2 linked regions of the Arabidopsis thaliana genome follow. The protein of the gene in region 2 interacts with the protein of the main gene of each other region in a pairwise test. Each region holds a gene or a part of one and is shown on either strand. Other genes may lie near its edges.

Region 1 (4,419 bases), on a different chromosome or scaffold from region 2:
ATCTCTTTCAAATATCAGAATTTTTTAGATTAATAAAAAACAATATAAAAAAATGTGACAATACCATTCACTTGACAACACCATTCACTGACACTAAAGACTTTTGAAGTTTAGGAATAGAGGGAGTACATTTTGATAGAAAACAAAACTAAAATCTAAATCACAAAAGATAGCCTAACGAGATTTCTTTTTTTTTTTTTTGTGATCTTGTATATTGGCTTGTTGTTTAAGCCTGTAAGTTTGGCTGCTTTGGTTAGAGCATCATGGTTGTGTTTTTGATGCTTTTGTAATTGGCTTTCTGAAACTCTTTATCTAGATATATCATCAGTCGACAAAGAAAAAAAAACGATTCAGTTTCAGTGTGACAAGGAAAAAAGGAGAAACGTGAGTTTAAGGTTAGTTTGAAGAGGACAAAAATATATGGGGTGAGAGAGGCTCGAACTCTCGACCTCAGGATCACTCAATAGCTATGAGACCTACGCGCTAGCCAACTGCGCCACCACCCCTTTGCTGTGTTACCTCTCTCTGTCAACATATATAATTGTTTTTGTTCTTTCTCTGTTAAGTTGAACTCGTTTATGGGTCGTTTGGCCCAAACCACACATCACAGTTTTGATTCACCAGTTGTTGAGATAATCTTAAAACTTAAGAATGAGTTTTCTCAGAAATTTATCAAACCGTCATACAATGCTCCATAAATTTCAGTCAAAATATATACCTATTGTAATCGCCAGTACATGTGTTTAACATTATGTATGATTGAAACAGGTGATTAAAATGGTTTTCAATGGAGAAACGCTTTGATCAAAAACTGAGAAAGATAAGCAATAAAAATTGAGTTTAAAATGGTCTTCAACTAAAAGCATAAATCATGAAACAAGCCCAAAGCGATTGTGTACCCATGTCTTGGAACAAAAACAGCTGAATATGAACTCGAACTAACTTTTTAATAGCCGGAGAAGAAAAGAGAACAAAACTAGAAAGGTGACATCTTTGATTTGATTCTCAAGCTTTTTTAAGCTGTGACAGAGGGCTTGGCAGCAGCAGAAGAGAGTCTCGACCTCTTCTTTGCCAAACTCTCACTCCTCCTGTCACGCTGTTCCTTCAACCTCGAGGCGAGAAGCTTCTGGTAATCAGCAGCATCAGAATTAGCCTTAGCAATTTTCTTCTTCTTGTCAGCAATTCTAGCTCTCTTCCTCTGAAGAGTCAATGGGGTCACAAGCCTCTGGATCTTAGGGGCTTTGCTAACTTCCTTGCCTGTCAAAAATCCAAACAGAAGAAACAAGTTTCAGAAAACATTATTTCTCAAGTGTGATTCAGAAACCACTATTTCTCAAGTTCAGTGTCTCACCCTTCTTGTTTGTGAACTTGCGGCGGTAAGTGTTGACATAGGTCCTGACATCATCTTCCTTCTTGAGGTTAAACAGTTTACGGATCTTGGAGGCTCTCTTTGGTCCTCTCATTCTTGGCTTCTCAGTATCGGTAAGCCCAGGAAGATCGTTCTCACCCTTCTTCACAATGACAAGGTTCAGAACAGAGAGATCAGGGCTCACAATGCAACCACGAACAGACTTTCTTCTCCTCTCACCAGTTCTCCTTCCATGTCCTCTGAAGCAAGGAGTTCCTGTTCACCCATTACGAAACAATGTTAATCTACAGCAAAACACACACACACACAAATACAAATCCATTATAGATGCAAAAGTGTAAGAAAAGGTATTATGTTTAGTTACCTCGGTGAAGCAAAAGGCGAACACGGCCTGGAGTCAAAACTCCCTGCTTCATTGGGAAACCTTGCTTATCGCAACCACCCTTGATCTTGAAAACGTATCCTTTGAACTCCTGCAATAACAACAATTCATAAACAAAACATCATCATCTGCTTCGAAATGCTAATCTTCACACTCATTAGATCAAAGTAAGAAAAATGGAATCTGTACCTCGCCCAAAGCATCTCCACTGACTTCTTGAGAGATTCTCTTGTCGTAAAACGCACGTCTGCATCAACATAAATCAAGCTGAATAATATAATCCAGATATGTTTATGAGCAGATACGAAACTTATTTTAATGTAAGTATTAAACATAGAAGAAGATTCTAACTCTTATTAAGCTTATAAGACGAACATAGAAAAATTGACAATTACTGTTTACTAGACCTATCAATTTAACAGTGATATATACAAACACCAATCAATAGATCTGGCAACCTAGCACGAAATATCTATTAAAAATGAATGAAGATGAAACAGAGAAGCAAAATCTTACAGTTTCTGGTCATCGTCGATCTCGAGCTTCTTCTGGCATCCAGTAGTTGGATTCGCAACGTTGAACTGAAACGAAGAAACATGAAAAAGGTTAGCAAAGGAAACTCGAATACGAGCAAATGTAGAGTCTATTCGATTTCGCCGTCACGCACCTTCATCTTCGACGTCTAGGGTTTCTCTGTAACGCAAGACAGCATATTTATACCAAGAGAGAAGATTCGTTTGGTGGATTTATATGGGCCGTTTTCTGCGATTATGGGCCCGATGGCCCTTTTATCATTTTCTTCTTCCTAAATTCATGAAATAATAATTTCAAACAGAAAAAACATAGCATTAGTTTATTTTGAAGAAAATTTGATACATATATATATATATATATATAAACCTTCCGTGTTCAAAAAAAAATAAAAAATATATATATATAAACCTTTTCTCCTCAAAATAATGTGTAATTTTGTTTGACCTTTTTTTGCAACTTGGCCTTGATTAAAAAAGTTCGTGTTAAACAAATTTCTGCCAATGATTATTCTCTTAAGCAACCTGTTTCAATCACGGAATCGTTTTTTATTTTCTTTTCCGGGAGTACGATATCTGACTAATTCTTTCTTTTTGTTGTTTGACTATCTCTCTTCCTTACAAACCAAGTCATTTCAACGATATAAAATAAAATGTTTCGGGTCACGGGTGATGGTGAATGAATACTACGTGGTTACGCCTTACTGCAATGTCTTTTACTACTACATTCGTCTTGTTAATTAAACAATGTTTTTCTTATATCAAAACTTAAAAACTGTATGTTAGATAAGTAAAATATATTTGTCTTCTCTTTTTACATCTAGTTCTGTAATATTAGTTAATCAGAAACGGGGTTGCATGATATCACTTACAAAAGGCATATATATATGCTTTCTTTATTTAGTTTTACTGATGAAACTTATTTTTCACCACTACCCGCGACTTGCTGCATCTATAATTTTGTTACTTTTGTGTTTTTATACAAAACTGGATGGATCACGAAAGACTTGAGACCGAGGAATGAAAAGTAACCGTGTTAACTTTTAAGTTAGAACAGAAAATATGAGATACTGAAATTTGCGGCCACTTGAGCAGAGATTTAATTTGTGGCACATATAACATATGATATGAGTTTAATATGTTAACATGGGAGTTATAACGTCTACTATGTAAATGCATGCGTGTGTAGGGAGGTCCAATAATGCCCTTGTCAAGTTAAAATGGAAAAAAAGTTAATTTTGCAAAGGTACGTTAGTCCAGTACTGGTTAATTAATAAAAACCTATTTTGTTAAAATTTCAACCATATTATTAGTTATTTAATAGTTTAATAAGATAAGTACTTTATTGTATGCTGGTTTTTGACAAGAGATGATGTAAGGATTTATATCTTCAATTAAACAAAAAAGAAAAGAATGTTTCTTATGGAAATGTAACTTTTATATTACGTCATTAGCAGAAAGGGTCGTTAATATGTATAATTTACTTCTAAAAACAAAAACTTCTTCGAACCAAACACCTTTTGGCGTTAAATCTTATCCATTTATAAATATGAGTTCAAAATATTTTCAAGATGTATACATTCCACGGTACTTAACCAAAACCAAAAACAAAAGAAAAATGAAGAGACATCTCAACGACGTCGTCTTAGTGTTTCTCGTTTTTATCTTCGGCGTGAAATTGGGGAAGGGACAGAATACGACAATCCAAGTAATTAATGTTGGGGTTGTGACTGATGTTGGGACAACTGCCTCCAACTTGAGCTTGCTCGCCATTAACATGTCTCTCTCAGACTTTTACTCTTCTCGTCCAGAATCTCGGACCAGGCTTCTTCTTAACTTTGCCGACTCTAGAGACGATGTTGTTGGCGCTGCAGCGGCTGGTATGTTCTGTCTTTAATGATTCGATTGTTTCTATAAGTAAACGTGAAACGCAAATGAAAGCAAAAAATTTCGTTTGTGATTATTTTTTCCGTTTCCACGTTATACTAACTATATATAGTATAGCTCAAGAAATGTGAATTGTCCTTGTGGGTTCTGTTTTCTCGTTCATGCAACCGCTAATATTGTTTTTTGGAACAACTGATCATATATGCGTATCATATGTGGCCTTATTCACACTAATTATGCGCATCATATAT
Region 2 (4,758 bases):
GATAACATGTTGACAAGAAAAATGCTTCTCTTCAGATGGACCTTACCTCCGTAGGTCTAGGCACGGCAGCAACTACACTTGTAGACTCTTGAATTAATTTGGAGTTCAGTAAAATAACTGCCCAGTCCTGAGATGAAGAAATTGGAATCCAAGATAATAGCCGAGTACAAAGAAGAAGCTAATGGAAGATTCATGCGAATAAAGAATATAGGTTCGGTCATATTGTAGCAACCGTGTGAAAACCGTTTTTTTGTTATTTTCTGGTTCATAGGGACCTCAAAAGATAATGTGAAAGGAAACAAAATCTGTGATGCAATGATATGTGCACAGAGGGAAAAGATTTTGGAATCATTGTTGCTTATTGTGAAGGCCAAGCTTGTTTAGCCACAGTTGTCCAACAAAGTTACAAGATGTGCCTTGTAATACAATATTCCTGCGTTGTCAACCCTACTTTATTATATGAAGTTGTTTTTGTGTGTCATGGTTTCCACTAATTTACTTATTAATTTGATTGTTTGATTGTTTTCTATTAGTAAAAAAGTAATATCAACATTATGATTAAATTCTCAAATCAAATAATTATGTTGAAAAGATGAAATGCTTGGATAGCACTGAGCTTTGGACACGCAACAAAAAGTGAGGGAGGGGCAAATTCATCATCAGAAACGTCAGAAACATTATTTATTAGTCGAATCATACTAAAGTTTAACACAGTAATTCTAAAATAATTGACAATTATTACACCTAAAAGCTACTCCATATGTAGAGATAATGATAATTATATACTACAAGTTAGTATTTGTCGACGTCAATATTGTTCTCTTGGTTAATTGTTTTTAAATATTAAAAATTACCGGTTAAGGGACTTGTTCTCATTTTGTCAAAGCTTCGAAAACTTACATTTCAACCACCCAACTAGAACGTTTGTTCTTTTTCTAACAGAAATTTTCCTTTTAAATACTAAAAATAGTACTTACTACATAATATACCAAATACTTTTTTCTATTTTAGCTATCCTCATTATTGAAATAGATGTCGTAGATTTGAATTTACCTTCTGTTAATGTACATATGATAAAAGAACATTGGTTTGTTATGCTAAAATCTCAATAGTTGGAGCTAATCCTATAGTTTTGCTAAAAAAAACTTGTAATCCAAATAACTACAATCAAACCAAAACAACACATGATTTGAAATATCATTTTTTCTAGTGAAAAAATGTTGTCTTGCACTGCTCAAATTCAAGTAGACAATTCCGATTCAATATAACTAAAAATCTCATATTTTATTAAAATTTTATAAACAATTTATTTTTTGAAAGGGATAAACACTTTCAGCTGTTCAATTGTTCATAATTTTCTTCTACTTACATTGTTTCGTTTCCTATGGAAATGTTTAGATTTACAGGTAAAAAGTAAAAAATGTGCTTGAGCAAGAAAAGAGTAAAAAAAAATAAAAAAATCTGCATTTTAGTTGAAAACGAAAGAAATTCTACTGACTAATTTTGTCTTAAATGAGAGAGACCCGAATTTAGCAACTCTTTATTTCTCGGCTCACACACTCCGATTAAGCCCGACGCTCTCTCTCCTCTTTGTCGTCGTCATCATCGTCTCCGGAGTAGGTTGCAGAAATTCAGATCTGAACTCTCAGACGAAGCTCCGATCTTACTGAGACATTTTTGCTCGATTTGACTTTCGCCTTTAAAGCTTCTCAGGTAACTTTCAATCTTCACGAGACTCTTGCTTGACTTGGTTTTAGCTCCTTGTTTGGTTGCTGGGAAATTGACGAGGGGATATCTATTCTCACTCGTCACTCGTTGTTGAGTATTACTGGGTTTTTGGAAGATGAATGCAAGAGTAGAGAGCTAAGTAAATTATGTTGGACGAGATTGTGTAACGTGATTTTGAAATACATTTTCCTTTATTGTAGAGATTATTGTACTGAATTAATGGCGAATTCTCGTCAATATTATCCATCTCAAGATGAATCAATGTCCCCGACTTCTGTGAGATCAAGGGAATGGGAAGGTCCTTCCAGATGGACTGAGTACTTGGGACCTGAAATGGCTGCATCAGTGTCTTCTACTAGGAGCTCTAAGCAAATTGATGGACATGTTGGTGGTTCCACAAAGGCTTTGAACATACAATGGGTAGTTCAAATGATTGAGGTTGCTGACGGTCTCATGGCTAAAATGTATAGACTGAATCAAATCTTGGAGTATCCTGATCCTGTTGGCCATGTATTCTCTGAAGCATTTTGGAAAGCGGGTGTCTTCCCTAACCATCCACGGATATGCACTTTGCTCTCTAAAAAGTTCCCTGAGCATTTCAGCAAATTGCAACTTGAACGTGTAAGTCATGAGTTCTTTTTTTATTAGACTTACTGTTTGATTTGTTGATCTGATGGTAAATGAAAAAAGATTTATTCTGCAATACTTATGCAGATTGATAAGTTTTCACTGGATAGCTTGCATGATGGTGCTGAACTTCACTTACAGAGCTTAGAGCCATGGATACAGGTAATAAGAAACTATCTATGTAATATGTTGTTGGGTTTACGTTCTGTTGTTGTGAAACTTGTTGTTCGAGAATGGTGAAGCATCTCGGAAGTCCTACATGCTATATAGTCAATCTTTCTATTAGTTTTCTTTGTGTACCTAGTCAATCTTCAATCTTCAGTCTGCTATATAGTCAATATTCAATCTTCTATTCCATCTCACCATTAGTCAGCTTTATATATCTGGGCATGCATATATGATTTACCTAATACATGGTTTTAACTTTTAAAATGTAAACGAGTAGTTATTTGCTAGCCTTCTTTCCTTAGTTCGTGTGTAGCATTTCAGTAAGGGGTGCCTTCATAGTCCTCTCGTCATGCATTTTTCTTTTCTTGAATCAGCTGCTGCTCGACTTGATGGCATTTCGAGAACAGGCACTGCGGCTTATATTGGACCTAAGCAGCACTGTAATTACCTTGCTGGTGAGTCAAAGTCTCTCATCTGCGGAAAGTATTTACTTGCTCTGGGTTGAAACTTTGAGCTTTCTTTTGAACTCGTACCTTAGGTGGAGGTCATGAAATGTTTTGGTACATTAAGTTATTATTTACTTGTCAAAAATGTCTGTGAGGATGAAGATAAAATTGTTGAGTATTCATGATTAGCTCATAACTTAGTTCAGCTTTTTGCAGCCTCATCAGAACTCACTTATTCTGCATGCATTCATGGATCTCTTTTGTGCATTTGTCCGAGTCAATCTCTTCGCAGAGAAGGTATGCTGAGCTTGTTCCTTTTCTTAGTTCTTTGTTTATTTGGATTGATTACACATGTCATGTGAGACATTACATTATTATCAATATGTAAGAGTGTTTATTTTATCAAAGTAGATTCCTAGGAAAATGTTGTTGCAAGTCTACAACCTTCTGCATGCGCTATCAAGAAATGATCGAGACTGTGACTTTTATCACCGGTATGGATGTTTTTTTCCTTGTAGTATCATTTTTAATTTGTATATAATCAATAGACTCTGATATCATATATTAACACTCCTCGTCTTGCATCCAGCTTGGTGCAATTCATAGACTCTTATGATCCCCCATTGAAAGGCTTACAAGAAGATTTGAATTTTGTCAGCCCAAGGATTGGAGAGGTTAATATTTTATTCAAATCACGGGTATCCTACGAGCTAATATTGCAACTGATACAGCAGTACTAACAACGTTACTATTTTCCTAGGTCCTGGAGGCTGTAGGACCCAGTATTTTTCTATCTGCAGATACGAGGAAGTTGAGAAATGAGGGATTTTTAAGCCCATATCATCCTAGATTCCCAGATATACTTACAAATTCTGCTCATCCCATGGTACGAACGGCTAGATTATTATCAACATAAAAGCTTAGGATTCTCAGAATTAGTAGGATGCTATTGTCTTTCCCTTACAACTCTACTTCGATGTATAGTGCTAATATTAGATAATACACTCTTGGTTCCTACAGAGAGCGCAAGATCTTGCAAATGTTACTTCGTACCGAGAGTGGGTGCTTCTTGGATATCTCGTTTGCCCCGACGAGCTTCTTCGTGTTACTAGCATTGATATCGCCCTGGTATGAATCTGTTTTTCATTTTGTTCTCGATTGTGATCTTGATAAAGAAGTTTTTCCTCCAAGGATTCTATCTTGAAAACTATCTTATCTGGTCAATAATAGGTTCTATAAATTTGTTTCACAAATCAGAAATTTTCTGCCTCTCTCTGCCTTTGTTTGTAAAATGTTAAGTGCTTTCATTTTCAGTGTTTGTTTAACTTAAGATTAGTAATGGAGTTAGGTTTTTGATGCTCAAAACAAATCAAGATTGCGTGTAATTCGTGCTGTCTCTAATACTGTCCTGTTGTATTTCAGGTCGTGCTAAAGGAAAACTTAGTCGTGACGTTATTCCGGGATGAGGTGAGTTTATATCAAATGGTCTGCGAAAAAGAGTTTGGTATTGGAATTAGTTTTGCATCAGCTGACTCTATTAATCTAACTATGCAGTACATTCTGTTGCACGAAGACTACCAGTTGTATGTTTTACCCCGAGTGTTAGAATCAAAGAAGATGGCTAAGTCTGGACGGACTAAACAAAAGGAAGCTGATCTAGAATATAGTGTAGCAAAACAAGTTGAGAAAATGATCAGGTAACTCCAATTTTTAATAGTTCAGTACTTTGTAATCCTCATCTGATACTGGAGAATTTTTGTGACTTTAGCTCTGAATTTATAGATTTACT

What was found. Proteins that work in one complex are often made in the same cells at the same time.
Region 1: the proteins of GRL (region 2) and RPS6 come close enough for resonance energy transfer, tested with the Arabidopsis thaliana proteins (one study listed by BioGRID).

The regions. Positions count from the first base shown.
Region 1 is NC_003075.7:15,345,291-15,349,709, forward strand, and holds RPS6 (ribosomal protein S6), read right to left. Parts: upstream 2,515-4,419; 5' UTR 2,425-2,514; coding exon 2,419-2,424; exon of another isoform or gene 2,409-2,418; intron 2,333-2,408; coding exon 2,268-2,332; intron 1,999-2,267; coding exon 1,941-1,998; intron 1,843-1,940; coding exon 1,734-1,842; intron 1,625-1,733; coding exon 1,352-1,624; intron 1,258-1,351; coding exon 1,016-1,257; 3' UTR 689-1,015; downstream 1-688. Other genes in the region: GLR2.4 (glutamate receptor 2.4), read left to right, coding at 3,831-4,161. UniProt on the Arabidopsis thaliana protein: Component of the 40S small ribosomal subunit. Plays an important role in controlling cell growth and proliferation through the selective translation of particular classes of mRNA.
Region 2 is NC_003071.7:14,800,715-14,805,472, reverse strand, and holds the start of GRL (transcription activator), read left to right. Parts: upstream 1-1,622; 5' UTR 1,623-1,713; intron 1,714-1,928; 5' UTR 1,929-1,947; coding exon 1,948-2,349; intron 2,350-2,442; coding exon 2,443-2,517; intron 2,518-2,897; coding exon 2,898-2,978; intron 2,979-3,185; coding exon 3,186-3,266; intron 3,267-3,380; coding exon 3,381-3,463; intron 3,464-3,558; coding exon 3,559-3,643; intron 3,644-3,729; coding exon 3,730-3,855; intron 3,856-3,989; coding exon 3,990-4,097; intron 4,098-4,391; coding exon 4,392-4,666; intron 4,667-4,758. UniProt on the Arabidopsis thaliana protein: Involved in regulation of actin and microtubule organization. Part of a WAVE complex that activates the Arp2/3 complex.